Linked DNA regions of Sus scrofa. The protein of the gene in region 1 purifies or fractionates together with the protein of each later gene. This does not show direct contact. Links are inferred from orthologs where the notes say so. Each region holds a gene or a part of one and is shown in the gene's direction. Other genes may lie near its edges. The genes, in order: ANAPC4, ANAPC11, CCNB1 and ANAPC2.

Region 1 (4,539 bases):
GCTAGTATCCATGAGGATGCTGTTAGATCCCTGACCTTGCTCAGTGGGATAAGGATCTAGTGTTGCTGCAAGATGTATTGTAGGTTGCAGATGTGGCTCATATCTGGTGTGACTGTTGCTGTGACATAGGCGGCAGCTGCAGCTCTGATTCAGCCCCTGGCCTGGGAATGTCCATGTGCTATTGGTGCGGCCATAAGGAAAAAAAAAAAAAATCTGACTGCAGTAGCTCCAGTCCCTGCAGAGATAGGGGTTTGATCCCTGGCCTGGCACAATGGGTTAAATGATCCAGCATTGCTGCGGCTGTGGCGTAGGTTGCAGCTATGGTTCAGATTCAGTCCCTGGCCCCTGAACTTTCATATGCTGCAGATGAGGCCATAAAGTTAAAAAAAGAGAGAGAAGACCTCCCAGGAATGGGGGGGGGGGGGCGGTGTGTGGCCTAGGGGTCTGTAGATGACTGTAGCTAAGAAGGATAGCAGGTGGTATGGTCCACCATCTGGTAAAGGCACCCAAGTGTGTTATGCTATAGCCCTGAGGACTGAACTCCCCTCTTCCATGTGTTGTTACAGGGACAGTCCTTGTACAGGAAAATGCTCTAAGTCTTACAGCTTAAAGGTCATCTGTATCAGTGGTGCTTTACGAAAAACAAAAGCAAAGAACAAATTGTTTTTATAAACAATATAAGAAGTATGTAAAAATGCCCTGAAAACATATCGATTACAGATAACAGCTATTTTTGTCTGTACTGATTTTGCTCAGATCTTATTCATCTTTTACTTTAAAAAATGTGTAAAATTCGAGAACTTAAAATAAGTAAAATTAGAGAACTTTTTGTAAGTTTTTAATCTTCTGGCCCAGTCGTAGCACGGCCATGCAGAGCAGCCACCACCTGAGAAGCCTGTAGGGAGGCAGCGTTTTCAGGTGAGAAGCACCTTTCAGGGAGGAGAAGGAAGGTCCTGATTCCTGACTGTGAATTCCAGAGGGCACACAGCAAGGGTTTCAGAAGTAAGGAAAAGCAGAGGTGGGCTCGGAAAAGAGCATTGAGTCTGGGGGCTGAACCGTTCCTTGGGAGTTCTGGATTCCCTGTAACCTGGAACAGGCGTGCAGGGTGCTCTGAGGTTAGCTGTGGGGGTGGGAATTAAGGGGTGTGTGTGAGTTGGGGGGGGCGGGCCTTTAGGAGCACCTGCAGTTCTAAGGCTTTTTTTGTCTTTATTCCCAATGGCTGTAGAGAGGATGGAGTAGGGACCACTTTTATTTTAGCACAAGGTGCTCCAGGGCATTCTCTTGGCCCTCCGAGGTGGGCATTTTCCTGTGTGTAAATGGAATGGCTAAGTGACTTGTCTGAGCCCATGGCCAGTAAGTGACACAGCTGAAACTGTTGTGTGATTCCAAGTTTAGTGTTATTTAATTATATACAGCCACCTTTCCCGTTCCGTTTGTGTCCTTTATTTCTTTTTTTGTCATCTTGTTGGATATCTTCATATTGCTTTCTGAAAAATAAGTCTCTTGTTGACGTAAAAGGTGGGGAAAAGTATAGGATACAGAGTTAAATTAGACCTCTTTTCACCTGTTTTTCAGATATTGTTATCTTTTAATTTCTTCTGATAGCTCAATATTATACTTGATATGAGTTTTTAAAAATTCTATAGTGGGGATCTAAGATTATTTTAGTTTTGGAAATGGATTATTTATTATGTGCCATTATATCTGTTTTGTCTTAGGTTTTACTTCATCGACTTGCAAGTTTTCATCGAGTTTGGAGTTTTCCACCAAATGAAAATACAGGAAAGGAAGTGACCTGTCTGGCTTGGAGACCAGATGGCAAACGTAATGATAGTATTATAAAAAAATACATTTTTTGTTTTTCAGAAAGAGTATTCTGTAAAGAGAGCTTACTTCCACAAAGAATTTATTGTTCGTATTATATACTAGAAGATTCTAGATACACATTTGGAAACTTTGTGTTTTCGAATGCTTTAAAGTGTTTTCATAGAACTCAGAGCAATTCTACCACCTTGATTCTCGGCAGAGATATCTCTAAGATGAAATCTGACTTCTTGGCAAAGAGAAGTCCGAGAAGACATTTGATGGGAATATACAGGGACTTTGGTTTTGTTCTGCCTTCATCTTGTCATCCTGCACTGTTTGCCCCAAGCTTCCTTTGCCACTCCCTAGTGAGTTCAGTGCCATCTCGGCCCTTTTCTCCCCAAAATGTGTTTTAGCATTAAACATGTGGCTCGTAAATATTCTTTTTTTTAAATCATTTATTTACATACATATATTTTCTTTTCTACTGTACAGCATGGTGACCCAGTTACACATACATGTATACATTCTTTTTTCTCACATTACGTGTTCCATCAGAAGTGACTAGACAGAGTTCCCAGTGCTACACAGCAGGATCCTATTGCTGATCCATCCCCCAGGCAACATTCTGCATCTATTAATCCCAGGCTCCCAGTCCATCCCACTCCCTCCCCCTCTCCCTTGGCAACCACAGGTCGAAAGGTTCTTTTGTGCCGTATATTAGATTCCAGATATAAGTGATACCATGTGGTGTGGCTTGTAAATAGTCTTTCTTCACAGATGCTTGCCTCCCCTGAGGGACTGTCCCCTCTGAGCCCCTTTCTTCAACTTCTGCGTGATCTTCCTCCTCTTGGTGTCCTGTAGGTTGTAGCTTGCTATATGGTAGCGCTGAGGACTGAACTCCCCTCTTCATGTGTTGCTCCGGGGACAGCCCTTGTACAGGGAAATGTATCAGTGGTGCTTTACAAAAAACTAAAAGCAAAGAAATGATAGGTACTCTGCTTACTTTTTTCCTACATAAATATAAGTATGTAAAACTGTAAGTATGTAAATAAGTATGTAATGTCCTGAAAACATGTCCATTACAGATAGCAACTATTTTTGTCTGTACCCATTTTGCTCAGTTCTTGTTTCATCTTTTACTTTAGAAAATATGTAAAATTAGAGAACTTAATTAAAAGTAGAGAACTTCTGTTGTAAGTAATATTTTGAGATCCTGTACTATTCATCCAAAAACACCAGGAGCTCAAAAATCATGAAAATTGGTATGTGTGAAAATGTGTTTAAGTAGATGATTTTTTTTTTTTTTTCCTGCACCTGCAGCATGTGGCAGTCTCCAGGCCAGGGATCGAACCCACACCACAGCATTGCCCAGAGCCACGGCAGTGACAACACTGGATCCCTGGATCCTTAACTGCTGGGCTACCAGGGAACGCCTATATGATTTTTTTTTTTTAATTTTTTTTTTATAATTTTTTTTTATTTTCCCACTGTACAGCAAGGGGGTCAGGTTATCCTTACATGTATACATTACAATTACATTTTTCCCCCACCCTATTTTTATTGTTAAAAATGTCTCGTGGAGTTCCCATCGTGGCGCAGTGGGTAACGAATCCAACTAGGAACCATGAGGTTGCGGGTTCGATCCCTGCCCTTGCTCAGTGGGTTAAGGATCCGGCATTGCCGTGAGCTGTGGTATAGGTCGCAGACATGGCTCGGATCCCCCGTTGCTGTGGCTCTGGCATAGGCTGGCAGCTACAGCTCCTATTAGACCCCTAGCCTGGGAACCTCCCACATGCCGTGGGAGCGGTCCAAGAAATGGCAAAAAGACCAAAAAAAACAAAACAAAAAGTCTCGTGTTTTTAGACTATAAAATAGGGTTTTGTTTAGTAATGATTATTTTAATATTACTTTAAATTGGTTTGAAGAAGGTAGACTTGGCTTGCCTCACATCTAGTGTGTATTGGTATGCAGTAAAACTCACATCCTTCTATTTGGAAATTCTTAAATTTGATAGGAAGACGGTAATGGCTTACGTAGAGAAACAGTATTAGATAATTTAGCCACAGTGAAAGGAAGAAGATCAGTACTTGATGGCCCTGTTCATTAAGGTTTAGAAATAAAAAAGAGGAATAAAAAACACCTTGCAAGAACCAAAAGATGGAATCACTTTTTAACTTTTAGATAGGGACCAGTATGACTTGGTGATAGGATTTTTTTTTTTTTTTCTTTTTTGGCCACCCCGTGGCGTATGTAGTTCTTGTGCCAGGGATCAGAGCCGAGCCTCATTGGTGACCTACACTGCAGCTGCGGCAACGCAGATCCTTAACCCACTGTGCTGGGCTAGGGATCGAACCTGTGTCCTGGCACTACAGAGATACCACCAATCCTTTGTGCCACAGTGGGAACTCCGATATGATATTATTGTTTATGCGTTGACTCCTGTTCTGTATTTTTTGCTTGGCATCAAGGTTTCAGTCTAGAGTGTCTGGTGTGGAAGATGTTAAGAACAGTACACAAGAAAGTAGATTGCTCATGAAAGATGAGCATTTGAATATAAGTGTAAATAACAGCATAACTATATGCAGTGATGGCTTTAATTTTTTAATTACCTGAAGGATTGGGGGGTTAAATACTTTCTATGATTATGATGTATTGAAAATAGTAAAATTGGGCAAGAAGCAAAATGCCCATCTTTCTCAAATGTACTCATCTTTTCTGATTATTTCTTCTTGT
Region 2 (5,154 bases), on another chromosome or scaffold:
CCAGCCATCTGCAGGACTGACCCCCAAAACGGCATTACTTCACGAGAAAACCAGTTCAAGTGCCTTGGAGAGTGGATTTAAAAAAGAGAAAAAGAAACGGAAAAGAAAAGAGGCTTGAGTCGAAGACGAGACTAAATAAACACTTGCGCCGCTAACGAGACCCAGAGCGTGAGCATAGGTGAGAGAAAGACCGGGACCCAGTTCCACGGGGCTTAAGGCAGAGGGGACCAGAGATGCCTGTAGCACTCTGCTTCTGCACTTTGTCAGCCCTGCAGAGAAAGGGCTTTCTCCTCCCAAAGCATCACTAAAACGGGCACGAAATAAAGCCGCAGACAGCCGCGCTCTTTCAGGGACGCAGAACCACACGCGTTCAGCCACACTTGCCAGAAAAGGGCAGGCAGAGGCTCCTCACCCCCACGGCGGATGCTTAGCTACCAAAGCCGCGGTGCCTCGGCCCGGCCCGACCCGGGCCTGTCTTCCAGCGCAAACTGAACCAGCAGTTGGACTTTCAGCTCTAGCTTGGCCTTTGCTATGCACTCCAGCAGCCCCTTCCAGGGAGCAGTGGTGGCCAGCCCTCGAGGGCCTGGGAGGGGCTCACTGTCCCAAGGTGGGTGCGGATTCAGGGTCCCGGCCCGTCCCAAACACCACAGTCAGTGCTGTACAGGGTGAGCTGCTCCCGAGGAGAAGCTCCAGTCTCTTACCTGAATATCAGCGTCGGACACGCCAAAATCCAGATTTGACACCAACAGTTTCCCACCGGTCTCCACGCCGGCACCACCCCCAAAACCGCTGTCGAAAAGGTCGTGTTGCCATTTGTCAGGAAGCTGTTTCGGCTAAAGAAAAAGAAAACGCGACAGAAAAAGACCCATAAGTCGCGCTCCAGGACTCGCCCTCGCCCCCACGGCCACAAGACCTTCCCCCATCGCGGCCCGGGAGGAAGGCACCGAGAGGGGCCCGCAGCCCCCGCTTCCCGCCCGCGGGGCCGCACTTCCCGCAACTTCTCGGTTCCCTCCAACTAACTTCCCGCCGCCAGGGCGGCCGCGCCAACGTCTCCTCGGCCCCCGGCGCCACGAGGCCCGGCGTCCAGCCCAAACAAAGGCCGGTGGGGTCTCGCTTCGGGGCCCGGCTGGCGCGCGACCTCCCCCGTCCGCCCGGCCGGCGCCCGCGCCCCCACCCCCCCGGCCCGGCCCGCCCGCTGCTCCCGCGTCGCGCTGCCTGCCCGCCCCCCGGCCGCGGCCCGCCAGCCGGCCTCCGCACTCACCCTGCTGTAGGGCGCCGGCCGGTTCCTGCCGCCGCCCGCCGCGCCGCGGGCGATGGCCGGCCGGTTCCGAATGGGTCCGCCGCCTCGGCTCACTCGCGCGGCAGCCTGCGCCCCGCCGCCGCGGCCGCCCTGGGAGCCGGCCCGGCCGCGGCCCCTGCCCCCGCCGCGGCCGCCTCGCTGGCTCCGGTTCAGCTTAATGATGTCGTCCAGAGACATATCCATTTTGTCGGCCATGGCGGGCGCGGAATCGGCCTCGGCTGGAGCCCGCGCGTCAGCACGCCGGCGCGTCACTTCCTGCGCCGCGCGGCCTTTTCCGGGCCTGCGTCCTCGGAGCGGCCGCGGATTGGCTGCGAGGCGGCGGCGGCGTCGGGGGGCGGGGCGGGGCGTGCGCGCTGGACCCCGGGCTTCGGCGGGCGCCGCTGAGAAGTGCCTGTCCGCAGCCGCGGTCGTTTATATACCTTCCCGCGCGGGCGCCGGCGCCGCCAACGGAAGGCGGGTGGGGCAGCGCGTGATTTGGTTAGTGGGGGTGCGGCCGTTGGGCGGGGCCGGGCTTCCGCCCCTCCCTTGCCCCTCCTTGCACGTCCTAACCGGGTCCTGCCCCTCCCCCCGCCCCGAACCCGCGCTCGGGTCCGCGGAGGCGGGGGGAGCGGCCGCGCAGGCCGGGGGCTTGTTTCCGCGGGTGTCTTGCAGGGAGGGGTTTGGCTCTCCTCCTGACCTCGACAGTCATGTCCCTTTCAGACGTACACACGGCAGGATTTTGCAGTGGTTAACGGAAGCCGACGCCCCCTTCCGTGGACGCCCGGGCAGAAGCGCGGCGTTGGGAGATGCGCTGAGCGCCCGGTCCTCCCGGGGACCCGGCCCTTGCCCCAGCCGCCTCGCTGACAGTTTGTGCTGCCCTGCCGGAGGCGACTCCTGCCCTCCCCGACCCTCTAGAGGGCTCGGGGCGGAACCTCTTCTTTGGCTCCCAAGTGCTGTAGCTCAGCAGCCTCACCGGAACCCCGGGGGTCTCTTCCCTCCCGCAGGCTCCCGCGCCATGAAGGTGAAGATCAAGTGCTGGAACGGCGTGGCCACGTGGCTCTGGGTGGCCAACGACGAGAACTGCGGTATCTGCCGGATGGCCTTCAATGGCTGCTGCCCGGACTGTGAGTGCCCCTGCCCGCCCTCGAGTTTTGACTGCTTGCTGGCCTTGGCAGGTCCTTAGAGATACCTGCATAGCATCCCCAGCGTTTGATTTCCTTTCCCCAAGAAAGTTAATGGGGAAAGGCTAGTCAGTTTGGGCCCATGTTTGTACACGAGACGTCTGTCAAAGGTTTGGTGAGAAAAAAGAGCACAGCTTCCTGTCCAGGTGAGAGTCACTGTGAAACACGTGGGACTGAGAGATGTGTTAAGATCTTTTATTCGAAGACCTTTATTCTCAAGCCAACAAAAGAATGGAATGTTATAAAACCACTCTCCCATCTAGCAGGTCAAACCGGAAATGACATGTTTCCGTATTTGCTTTTGTCCAAATGTTTTAAAGTCAGTGCTGGAGGTAATGCTTTTTGCCACTCACTTCTCTCTGTCATTCGCCACTGCTGTCACCACAGACAACACAACGCAAGGAGACATCTTTTGCCGCTTTTGCCGTGTTCGTTCCTTCCCAGGGTGTTTGGTGAAGTGAAAGTGGTTGTTATATTCAGGTCAAGAGTTAATTTAGTTTGGGGACAGACGAAAGGGTCTCTGGCTTTGCCAAGGGGACAAGGGTGGTCCCAAGAGGGAGGTGGGGCTTGGGGACCACTGAGCAGCTGCTCGGGTGCAGTGAGTGACCAGGCCTGTCTTGTGGGGCCATGTGAGGCCGAATGGTGCTGCTTCTTAGAGTCACGTGTTTCTACCCTGGTGGTAATCCTTCGTCTTCCTGCTGAGAGGGAATCTCATCACCCAGGACTCAGCCCATCCTGTGAGTCAGCCAGGCGGGATGCAATCTTAGGAGGCCCTGACTGGCTCTGCCTGATGGGGTTTTCCTGAACGTGAAGGAGAGGAGAAGTGGGAGATCTGGCCCTTCCTAGAGAAAAAAGAAAGGAAACCACCTTTTCCAAGAGTACCACACGGGTGGGGTGGGTATCTGCAACCTCCTCAGCAGCAGATTACGGCCTCAGGAGAGAAGAGTCCTCGAAAGCAATTTTGTGGCTGTGCCCTTGGCCCGAAGTGGGCGATGAGCCTGTGTGGTACCCGGTGCACACCGCCCAGTGGCACACTCCAGCTGCGGGGCAGGCTGACGGGCGAGTGTGTCAGCTGCAACGGAGAGGGGGCTTGGAGTCTGAACTTGGGGCCTGCTGGTGGTGAAACAGAGGGAGCCGGTGGTACTGAGCAAAGTGGTGGGTGAGCCCAGGATGCCTTCTGCCCGGATCAGGTGACACTGGGGCTTCTCTGCGGAAACGGCACTCTGAAGAATCCGGAGGGACTCAGACTGTGATGAATCCACTCCTCCCAGGGTTTCCGAGGGCGGGCGAGTCTTGCTGAGAGGATTCCACCGGCCTGAGCCGGCCCGCCGCCAGCATGCTCTTGTACTGTCAGGTCCCGGGGCAGGCAGGCCGGCCGGGGCACCCACCAGTGGGCTAGCTGGCCCTGCTCGTCCTCTCCTGTTCTGTTTGTGAGGGAGTCTGACGTGTCAGGGGTGATGGCAAGCCTTGTTCTGCTGAGGCGGAACGGCCGGGTGGGACGCCGGACGCTTATCTAAACGAGGGCCCCCACCCGGTGGGCTCCTGGCACAGCGTCCTGCTCACCCCACCCCCGTGGCCTGGGAGGCAGAGGGAGTTTTGTCCTTGCCAAAGGTTGTCGGAAAGGGTGAGATGTCTCCAGTTACAAAAAGGATGTTTTAAAAGATTGAGGAACTGCTCCAAACAAATGAAGGCGATGGCGGTGCGACGTGTGTCCCACGGGGGTGGCTGCTCGGGTCGGGAAGGAGCTGGGTGTCTTCAGCAGACGTGGACACGACGACAGCCACCTGGTCGGAACAGCGCCCGCCCCTCAGGTGGCAGCGGCCCTCATTAGTTGTGGGGCCTTGGCCTCCATCAGGTGGGGCAGCGTGGTGGCTGCAGAGCGCGGTGAGGCTGGTCGAGAACACAGGCCAGGTGCCTGGCCCGCCGTCCAGCAGAAGCAGGTGCTGCCTGGGGCTCGAGAGCAACGTGGTGTGGCTTGGCCGTGGTGGTGTCTCCTTAACGTATTGTACGGTCACCTGTGTCCCTGTTTGGTGTCTTAAGAACCAGGGCCACAGGCGACCAGGCCAGCCCGGGGGTCTCGGGGTTCCCAGACCTGCACTTAGGAGCCACTTCCTGGGCAAGATGGCCCCTGTTGTCCTGGTGGTCTGTCTGTGCACCAGTGACACCTTACACAGCTAGCACGTGAGGGCCGCAGAGACCCCCCAAGGCAGTGACGTAGGGAATGGGACCTAGGAGAAGGTGGGGGCAGTGGGCTGCAGCCCCTCAGTCCCGGCGGGGACCTGACCTGGGGAGGTCATTGGGTTCTCTTGTTAGCAGCTGTTTGGCGGGGTTTTCCAGATCCTTGAAGATCAGAGGGCCGCCTGTTGCCCTTGACCTCAGGCAGCGTTAGCGTGTCCTGTGTGTGCCACGTCCTCTCCACAGAGGTAGCGCTTCTAGGTGTGTGGAGTGGAGTGCCAGCAGCAGGTACCAAGGGCCTTGGAGGTAGGACTCTCTCAGATTAGAATCAGGAGAGAGACAGGATGTCCTGTCACTCCCAGCTGCTGACAGGCGAGGCCACAAACATCACAGTGTCCCCAAGGCGAGGGAACCATCTGGGTCCCAGAGCCACGGCCGGCCCTCCCAGCCTTGACCAAGAGGTATAGTTCACCCCTCAGATGCATGTGTCCCCTGCAGGCACGTGACATGGGTGCCAGG
Region 3 (4,539 bases), on another chromosome or scaffold:
GGTTTTGATGGTTCACTCTTATTTATGGGTTTTTGGGGGTTTAAACCCTGGAGCCAGAGTGGTAGCATATTGGTTCCAGCTGATCTGGGAGCTGTTGCTATTTTCTTCTACTTCAGGTTCTGGATTTAGAGTCTTAAGTGAAAAGATATGAGGTGATACTATGGTATCTTTATTAGGGAAGAAGTGGGGACAAGGTATGGGCCAGTAGTGGTGAAATGGACATAGTAAGATCTGCCATTGTGAAAACCTGTCACATTGTCCTGTTGAATGTTTGCTTTATTTCTTCCTCAGCAAAAGAGCTGTTTGCAATGACTGTATGAATAATCCAATCACTAGAGGGATTTCCTGTTGTGGCTCAGCAGTAACGAACCTGACTAGTATCCATGAGGACACAGTTTTTTTTTTTTTTTTTTTTTTTTTTTTGTCTTTTTGCTATTTCTTTGGGCCGCTCCCTTGGCATATGGAGGTTCCCAGGCTAGGGGTCGAATCGGAGCTGTAGCCACTGACCTGCGCCAAAGCCACAGCAACTTGGGATCTGAGCCGCATCTGCAACCTACACCACAGCTCACGGCAACGCCGGATCGTTAACCACTGAGCCACGACGGGAACTCCAGGACACAGTTTTGAGCCCTGGCTTTGCTCTGTGGGTTAAAGGATCCAGCGTTGTGGTGAGCCGCAGTGTAGGTCACAGAGATCGCTTGGATCCCTCGTTGCTGTGGCTATGGCGTAGGCTGGCGGTTGCAGCTCCGATTCAACCCCTAGCCTAGCAACTTCCACATGCTGTGGGTACAGGCCTAAAAAAGATAAAAACAAAACAAAATAATAAAAAAGAACTGTTAGCGATCCTAAATGTTTTAGAGCTACTCTGAGGGGACATTTCTGGTCAGAAATGTCATGTGGGGAGTTCCCGTCATGGCGCAGTGGTTAACGAATCCGACTAGGAACCATGAGGTTGCGGGTTCGGTCCCTGCCCTTGCTCAGGGGGGTAATGATCCGGCGTTGCCCTGAGCTGTGGTGTAGGTTGCAGACGCGGCTCGGATCCTGCGTTGCTGTGGCTCTGGCGTAGGCTGGTGGCCACAGATCCGATTCCGACCCCTAGCCTGGGAACCTCCATATGCCGCGGGAGCGGCCAAAGAAATAGCAAAAAGACAAAAAAAAAAAAAGAAAGGAAAAAAGAAATGTCACGTGGAGTCTTGCTTCTAAGGATAATCCGCACTTCTTTTGCAGGAAGAACAAGCAGTTAGACCAAAATACCTACTGGGTCGTGAAGTCACTGGAAACATGAGAGCCATCCTAATTGACTGGCTAGTGCAGGTTCAGATGAAATTCAGGTTACTACAGGAGACCATGTACATGACAGTTTCCATTATTGATCGGTTCATGCAGGTGAGCATAAATTCAGCAACTGAGAGATCTCTCTTCGAGGGTCCTAGCTATAAGTCATAAGAAACAAACTTTTTCAGCTAAAATCTGTCTTGGGAGTTGAAATTTTAGTGTGGGAGTGTCTTTCTCCATTGCGCTGTGCCTCCTTTTCAAATGCATGTTACTTATTCATCCAATTGAGGTTCCCATTGCAGGATAATTGTGTGCCCAAGAAGATGCTCCAACTGGTTGGTGTCACTGCCATGTTTATTGCCAGCAAATATGAAGAAATGTACCCTCCAGAAATTGGTGACTTTGCCTTTGTGACTGACAATACTTACACTAAGTACCAAATCAGGCAGATGGAAATGAAGATTCTAAGAGCATTAAATTTTTGTCTGGGTCGCCCTCTACCCCTGCATTTTCTTCGGAGAGCATCCAAGATTGGAGAGGTACAGAGTAAAAATTGAAAATTTTAGTATGGTACATTGGGGAATACTGCTGACCAATGAGATCTAACTCAACTGCCTTGTACTATGTATCTAACTACGTGGGGAAGGGTTAAAGATGGTCTTTATTTCCAATCAGGCTGTTGTGGTAATATTAAAGTTTTTCATAGGCAATTGCATTTGAGTTGAGAGACAAACATTTACAGTTAAAAGTTATGGGCATACCCCATAGTTACTGCCAATGCAAAATTCTCAGACGAGCTCAGTGACCCCGTGGGTTTTGTTCCAGGTTGATGTTGAGTTACATACTTTGGCCAAATATCTGATGGAGCTAACTATGTTGGACTACGATATGGTGCACTTTCCTCCTTCTCAGATCGCAGCAGGAGCTTTTTGCCTATCCCTGAAGATTCTTGATAATGGTGAATGGGTAAGCTCTGTCCCACAAACTAAGGTCACGCCAAGCTTTTAAATTGTAGTATTTACTGAATACAGACCTGTTTCTATTAAAGGACAATTCACTTGGTTCCTAAATATGGCATCTACTGAGGGAAGGTTTTAAAATCAAGTTTGTGATATCTTCATAGCTTGCTTCCATTTCATTACCTAATCTCATCTTTCTATACCCCTCTGGGAAAAGCAGAGCAGTTGCTACTCCTTACAGATGGAGAAACTCAAGCAGGTGAAATGACATAGCAGAAGTTTATTCATATTCATTGATTAAACAAGCATTTCTGGAGTTCCCGTCGTGGCGCAGTGGTTAACGAATCTGACTAGGAACCATGAGGTCGCGGGTTCGGTCCCTGCCCTTGCTCAGTGGGTTAACGATCCGGCGTTGCCGTGAGCTGTGGTGTAGGTCACAGACGCGGCTCGGATCCCGCATTGCTGTGGCTCTGGTGTAGGCCGGTGGCTACAGCTCCGATTCAACCCCTAGCCTGGGAATCTCCATATGCCGCGAGAGCGGCCCAAGAAATAGCAACAACAACAACAACAAAAGACAAAAAAAGACCAAAAAAAAAACAACAAGCATTTCTCCTGTGTGCCATGTGATACTCTAGACCCTAGCAATAGAATTATCAATGAGAAAGTCAGCTCCGAGGAACTTGGGGTTTAGCTTTGGGGTGGACAAGTCAGCAATTTAAAAAATGTAAGTAGGTTTGAGCACAGGATCCCAGGGAAAGCATGAAAGGAGAGTACCTGGGGAAAAAGGGGTCTTAAGCTTGTCTTAAATTTCAGTTATAATCAGTCACACAGTATCTTCCTCTCTATCCTATTTTTGAGTAACATCTAGAGGTTTTATGAAAACCATCATTGATGAGCATTTTCAACCTTAACTTTTGTTGTCTTAGACACCAACTCTACAGCATTACCTGTCATACACTGAAGAATCCCTTCTTGTGGTTATGCAACACTTGGCTAAGAATATCGTCGTGGTGAATCGAGGGCTTACAAAGCACATGGTAAGTCAGTGGCACTGTAGAGTGTTGGGGGAAAAGTGAAAATCATTAAGACTTGATGCCTGGAGTTCCCGCTGTGGCTCAGTGGAAACGAATCTGACTAGCATCCATGAGGAGGACGCAGGTTCGATCCCTGGTCTCGCTCAGCAGGTTAAGGATCCCGCATTGCCATGAGCTGTGGTGTAGGTCGCAGATGTGGCTCGGATCCCACGTTGTTGTGGCTGTGGTATAGGCCAGTGGCTACAGCGCCAATTTAGCCCCTAGCCTGGAAACTTCTGTATGCTGCAAGTGCAGCTGTAAAAAAAAAAAAAAAAGACTTGATGGCCCGACAATTCATAAGCTGATTTTTAAGGAGTTGATGGTTTTAAGTGACTATTTGTACCATGGATTCTTATAAGGTTTTCCTCTTTTCCTTCATTAATTACTGTGTTTTTCCATTCCAGACTATCAAGAACAAGTATGCCACATCTAAGCATGCTAAGATCAGCACTCTAGCCCAGCTGAATTCAGCACTAGTTCAAGATTTAGCCAAGGCTGTGGCAAAGGTGTAACTTGTGAACTTCGGAATACTATAATATCTACAAATAAAATTGGCACCATGTGCCATCTGTACATATTATATGTTACACTTATTTACTTTTAATAAAGTTTGTAGTCCTTTTTACTTCTTAACTCATTTGAATGTGGCTATTTCCCACTTGAGGATAACTTAAAAGTTGTCTTAAAGGTACAGTGGAGAATGTTTTTTAAAAAATGAAAACTGTTTTCAGTTACCTGGGAACCCAACTAATATATACAATTGGCTCTTCTTGTTTTATGTACTTGGCATAACTTAATTAATATGAGTTCATATAGTCTTGAAGCCATTTAATATCTTTATATGTTACACTGTATGTAAGCTCAGTCATCTTGAGAGAATCTGCTACCTAGTTCTACACAAGGAAGAGTCTACCGTCTCAATCCTAGTCCCCTTGTTTTATATTTCCTCTGGTGGCTGCAGTCATAATCCTAAATAATCTACTTGTACCACTTTCTTAAATTATCAACTTTAGTATCAACTTTTTCACTTGGAAAAATGAGAATTTTAATTTATATTCAAAACCTAATTTACTTTTTGTTTATTGGTTAAGAAAAATAAAACAATCCTTAGAACAAATATGAAAGTATCTGAAAAAGTTTATTGGGAGTTCCCGTCGTGGCGCAGCAGTTAACGAATCCGACTAGGAACCATGAGGTTGCGGGTTCGGTCCCTGCCCTTGCTCAGTGGGTTA
Region 4 (4,539 bases), on another chromosome or scaffold:
GCAGGTGGAGAGGCAGGTTCTGGCCCATCAGGCTGACTGGGGTGTGGGGCCCGCGTGGCCACAGGTCTCCAGGGTGCAGACCCCCAGCCCTGGAGGGACCTGGGACACCCCTGGAGATGGGGGGCCAGAAGTCAGGGCTCGGAGACCCCTCGCACCGGAGCGGCAGGGCCAGGCCAGCGAGAGGGGTGGCGGCTCGTCCAGCTTAGCTGTCTAGATGCGGCTGCTGTTAAGGCGCCTCGTCCTTGAGGGACAGGACGGTGCAGGGCGGCCGGTCCCTGCGGGGGGTGGCCTGGCGGGGAGCCGGGGTGTGGTCAGCCCCGCAGGAGGGAGGTGCAGGGCCCCCCCACGCTCCCTGCTCTTACCTGGGTGTGGGGCCTTGGCACTGCACGCCCACCTTCCTGGTGGGAGATGTCTGTGTGGCAGCCCGTGTGCTCGGCGCCCTGTGCTGCACACGGCCTCCCGCTGCTCCAGCACACCTGCCAGCGGAGGCCCCACTGCCTTCCACCCGAGTTCCGTCCTGACCCAGACGCAGCCCAGGACACCTGGTCTAAACCCAGCCGGACACCAGAGTGGCCACAGCCAGCCCCGGAGCTGGGCCAGAGGCAGGCCCGCGGCCGTGTGCCTCTGACTCCCTCCAGCCAGGCTCCCAGCCCCAGGGCTGTGCCGACCTCGTGCCTCGCACCTGCCCGACTCTGGGCTGGCGTGAGGGTGGTAAAGGTCATGGCCTTGGTGCCAGAGGGCCTGCTGGTGACCCGGGCGAGCTGCCAGCCGTGTCTCCGTTTTCTCTCCACGAAGTGGGCTTGGGTCCTTGCCTCCCCACTCAGAGCTAAGGGGCTGTGGGCCGACCCAGCAGCGCCTGGCCCGGCGTGGCGGCCAGGACCGAGCCCCGCAGATGGGCCTTAGGCAGCACGGAGCTCTCGTCTCAGGTCAGGCGGCCAGAAGCTGAGGATCGGGGTCCACAGGGCTCCCTCCTGAGGCTCCAAGAGAGGGCGTCCCTGCCTCTTTCAGGCCTCACTCCTTGGCCTGTAGGCGCATCGCTCTGTCCCCTGCGTCTTGGCCCACGGCCTCTCCTGCTGTCCCTGTCCCTCTTCTTACAAGGACACCAGTCCTACCGGATTAAGGGCCCACTGTACCCCAGGACGACCTCGCTTTAACCACATGGGAAGAACTTCATTTCCCAGGTAGCTTCGGAGGCCCCGGGGGTCAGGGCTTCAGCATCTTTTTTGGGGGGGTCGCACTTCAGGCCATAGGAGCCTGTCCTCTGGACCCCCAAACCTCACATCCTTCTCACGTGCAGAGTACATTCAGCCCAGCTGAGCCTTCCTGGAGTGTTCCCCTTCCAGCAGCTCAGAGCCCAAACCTCCACATATAAACCATGTCTGCGAGCTCCCCTGTTGGACAGCGGGGTAAGGACCTGACGCTGTCACTGCAGCGGCTCAGGTCTCTGCTGTGGCGTGGGTTCCATCCCTGACCTGGACCGTCCACGTCCCAAGGGCGTGGCCAAAAAGAAAGTTTAAAGCAAACAAATAGCATCTAGGCTGGGTGAGGGGAGAACTGGGGCACAGTTCTTCAGCTGTGAACCTGTGAAGCCAGCTGAGCACCTCGCTGCTTCCCACGTCTGGTGATGGGCAGACAGCCCCGCTCCACGGGCGACAGGGAAGGGCCCGCCCCTGAGCAGGGCTGAAATCCGGGGAGGGAATTTGGCCCCGCGGCTGGGCTGGGCTGGGGCGCGCTCGGCCAGGCCAGGCATCTGGTATCTACATCTCCGAGGCTCTGCCCGAGCCGAGCCAGTCTCCTGCCTGGCCGGCCCTCCCTTTCCGTTCAGGCTGATGTCGTTTCCACTGGTAGAAAGTTCTCCGAACCCTTGTTGACCTCCGCGCAGTTCACGGTCCAGTCCCTCCATGGGGCTCTGACCGTCCTGGCTTTCCTGCTGGCGGCCGCTGCTGGTTGCTGCCACCCTGACGTACATCACCTCTGGGGCCCCTCGACTCCCCAGAGCACGTGGGAAGATGCCAGGCGCCGGGTGCTGGTTCCTGGTGCTTGTACCAATTTCTTCCTGGTTTCCCTCCCGTGGCCTGCAAACTGTAAGGAGCAGCCAGGCCACACCTTCCCGGCTTGGAAATCGCAGCCAAACGTCAGGTGCCGCTTGCCACCCTCCACGACCCGTCCCTGCCACTGCACAACAAGCTTGCCTGTCCTCCAGCTCCAGCGACAGGGTCCTCCTTTCAGCAGACCTCTTGAGGACGGCCTCTGCCGTCTCTCTACCAAGGCTCTCCGCGGGGCAATCCAGGCTTTTGGGAGCGCGCAGCTCCCAGCTCTCCCAGCTCCCCCTGCCCCTCAACACCACGGCTGCTTGCACTTTTTTTTTTCTTGAAGTTTGTAACAGCAGCACCCTCAGCCTCCTCCTGGGGCTGCTGTCACAAAGGACCAAGAAGCAGGTGGCTTAGAACGACAGGAACATAGTGGCGGAGGCCAGGGTCTGGGCTGGAGCTGTCAGCCTGGCTGTGTGCCTTCTGGGGGCCGCAGGCGAGCCCTCTTGCCTCGTGCAGCCGCAGAGGCGCCTCTGTCTTCCCCCGTGTGTGTGCAGCCACCGCGCTCTGGGCCACCAGTGGTGGTAGGTGAGGGCCCACGTTACTCCAGGACCACCAGCCTCGTCTTCACTTGTGACATCTGCAGAGGCACTGTTCCCACGTCAGGTCACAATCTGAGGTCCGGGATTGAGACGGGACGTCCCGGGGGCATGGCGGCCCTCCCCACTCGGTTGAGCTGCTGCGCAGCTCCTCTGCCTGTGGTGGTGGGGAGGGGGGCCTGAGCCAGCAGAGCAGCTGGGCTGCCTGTGCTGACCCCAGCCCTCCCCAGGCCATGCGGACACTCAGCTGGAAGCACACCCTGGGCCTGGTAACCATGGATGTGGAGCTGGCCGACCGCACCCTGTCTGTGGCCGTGACCCCTGTGCAGGCAGTGGTCTTGCTGTACTTCCAGGACCAAGGTGAGCCCATGCTCCCAGGGCCGGTGCCGGGCACTGCTCTGTGTCTGCAGAGGGCGGCCCGGGCCCAGGTGGCCCAAGGCCACGCAGGCAACAACCCCTTCCTGTGCCCCCCACCCCCTCGCCCAGCTGGGCCGTCTGAGTCCTGCTGAGCTGGGTCCCAGGTTCTGGGAGGCACGGTGGCCCCCAGTGCACCCAGTGTGCCTGCCCCCCCCGCCCACAGCCAGCTGGACCCTGGAGGAGCTGAGCAAGGCAGTGAAGATGCCCGTGGCGCTGCTGCGGCGGCGCATGTCGGTGTGGCTGCAGCAGGGTGTGCTGCGCGAGGAGCCGGCCGGCACCTTCTCGGTGGTGGAGGAGGAGCGGCCCCAGGACCGGGACAGCATGGTGCTCATCGACAGTGACGATGAGAGCGACTCGGGCATGGCCTCGCAGGCCGACCAGAAGGAGGAGGAGCTGCTGGTGCGCCGGGGGCGGGGGCGGCGCCGGGCTTGGCCCCCGTGAGGTGGCGGCCCTGCGGGGGGCCTGCCCGCCCGCTGAGCCGCCGCTGTCCCCCAGCTCTTCTGGACGTACATCCAGGCCATGCTGACCAACCTGGAGAGCCTCTCGCTGGAGCGCATCTACAGCATGCTGCGCATGTTCGTGGTGACCGGCCCCGCGCTGGCTGAGATCGACCTGCAGGAGCTCCAGGGCTTCCTGCAGAAGAAAGTGCGGGACCAGCAGCTCGTCTACGCCGCCGGCGTCTACCGCCTGCCCAAGAGCTGCGGCTGACACGCCCGCCCCGCGCCGAGTAAAGCAGACCTTTCCTCTGCCTCTCGCTGTCCTGCTGGCTTTGTGGGCCCTTGCGGGCACGTGATGCAGGTTGTCCCTCTGGCGGGGCCTGGCCCCCGGGGGGCACATGCAGGAAGCCGCGCGGCTGTTTGGGTTCCAGGCCAGGAGGGGTCCTGGCACGTCAGGCTTGTGGCTCGGCCAGGCCTGTGGCTTGGCTGGAGCTCACAGGGCTCAGCAGCCTGGCTCCAGCTCGAGCCTCACTGCTCGGGCCTTTTTTTTTTTTTTTTTTTTTGGCCACACCTGTAGCATGCAGAAGCTACCGGGCCAGGGATCCAGCCTGAGTTCAGTGACAGTGCTGAATCCTTAAGTGCTGGGCCACCGGGGAACTCTGCACCCCTCTGGCCCCAGACAGGAACCCTTAGGTCACCCTCGATCTGTCTGTCCTGAGGGTCCAGCTCCCCACGGCTGCTGCTGGGGCCTGTGGGCGCTGTCAGAACATGTGGGGTGTGTGGTGGCCGGGAGTCCCCAGTTAAGCCAAGGCACGAGGAGCTGCCTGGGACTTGCTTAGGGTCAGGTGGCTTACAGTGACATGTGCTTTCAGCAAGACCAATTCCTGGAGTTCCCTGGTGGCTCAGCGCTTAAGGACGTGGAGTTGTCACTGCTGTGGCTCACCCGGCCTGGGAATGAGGAGGTCGTGGGTGCAGCCAGAAAGAAAAAAAAGGCCAGTTCTTGCCCCAGCCCCACTACAGGGTCAGGAGCCAGCCGGGGGCCCAGTGAATCCAGCT

What was found.
Region 2: the proteins of ANAPC4 (region 1) and ANAPC11 purify together in Homo sapiens (affinity purification with mass spectrometry; 8 studies listed by BioGRID and IntAct, with this or other methods). This does not show direct contact. The link is inferred for Sus scrofa from reciprocal best matches to the Homo sapiens genes ANAPC4 and ANAPC11.
Region 3: the proteins of ANAPC4 (region 1) and CCNB1 purify together in Homo sapiens (affinity purification with western blotting; 3 studies listed by BioGRID). This does not show direct contact. The link is inferred for Sus scrofa from reciprocal best matches to the Homo sapiens genes ANAPC4 and CCNB1.
Region 4: the proteins of ANAPC4 (region 1) and ANAPC2 purify together in Homo sapiens (affinity purification with western blotting; 12 studies listed by BioGRID and IntAct, with this or other methods). This does not show direct contact. The link is inferred for Sus scrofa from reciprocal best matches to the Homo sapiens genes ANAPC4 and ANAPC2.

What each region holds. Positions count from the first base shown.
Region 1 is NC_010450.4:19,303,486-19,308,024, forward strand, and holds part of ANAPC4 (anaphase-promoting complex subunit 4), read left to right. Parts: intron 1-1,718; coding exon 1,719-1,824; intron 1,825-4,539. UniProt on the Homo sapiens protein: Component of the anaphase promoting complex/cyclosome (APC/C), a cell cycle-regulated E3 ubiquitin ligase that controls progression through mitosis and the G1 phase of the cell cycle.
Region 2 is NC_010454.4:1,095,703-1,100,856, reverse strand, and holds the start of ANAPC11 (anaphase-promoting complex subunit 11), read left to right. Parts: upstream 1-1,623; 5' UTR 1,624-1,777; intron 1,778-2,283; 5' UTR 2,284-2,294; coding exon 2,295-2,403; intron 2,404-5,154. Other genes in the region: ALYREF (THO complex subunit 4), read right to left, coding at 702-833, 1,262-1,495. UniProt on the Homo sapiens protein: Together with the cullin protein ANAPC2, constitutes the catalytic component of the anaphase promoting complex/cyclosome (APC/C), a cell cycle-regulated E3 ubiquitin ligase that controls progression through mitosis and the G1 phase of the cell cycle.
Region 3 is NC_010458.4:47,343,962-47,348,500, forward strand, and holds the end of CCNB1 (G2/mitotic-specific cyclin-B1), read left to right. Parts: intron 1-1,227; coding exon 1,228-1,386; intron 1,387-1,577; coding exon 1,578-1,814; intron 1,815-2,100; coding exon 2,101-2,241; intron 2,242-3,160; coding exon 3,161-3,271; intron 3,272-3,711; coding exon 3,712-3,819; 3' UTR 3,820-4,424; downstream 4,425-4,539. UniProt on the Homo sapiens protein: Essential for the control of the cell cycle at the G2/M (mitosis) transition.
Region 4 is NW_018084833.1:718,745-723,283, forward strand, and holds the end of ANAPC2 (anaphase-promoting complex subunit 2), read left to right. Parts: intron 1-2,859; coding exon 2,860-2,989; intron 2,990-3,209; coding exon 3,210-3,445; intron 3,446-3,541; coding exon 3,542-3,754; 3' UTR 3,755-3,796; downstream 3,797-4,539. UniProt on the Homo sapiens protein: Together with the RING-H2 protein ANAPC11, constitutes the catalytic component of the anaphase promoting complex/cyclosome (APC/C), a cell cycle-regulated E3 ubiquitin ligase that controls progression through mitosis and the G1 phase of the cell cycle.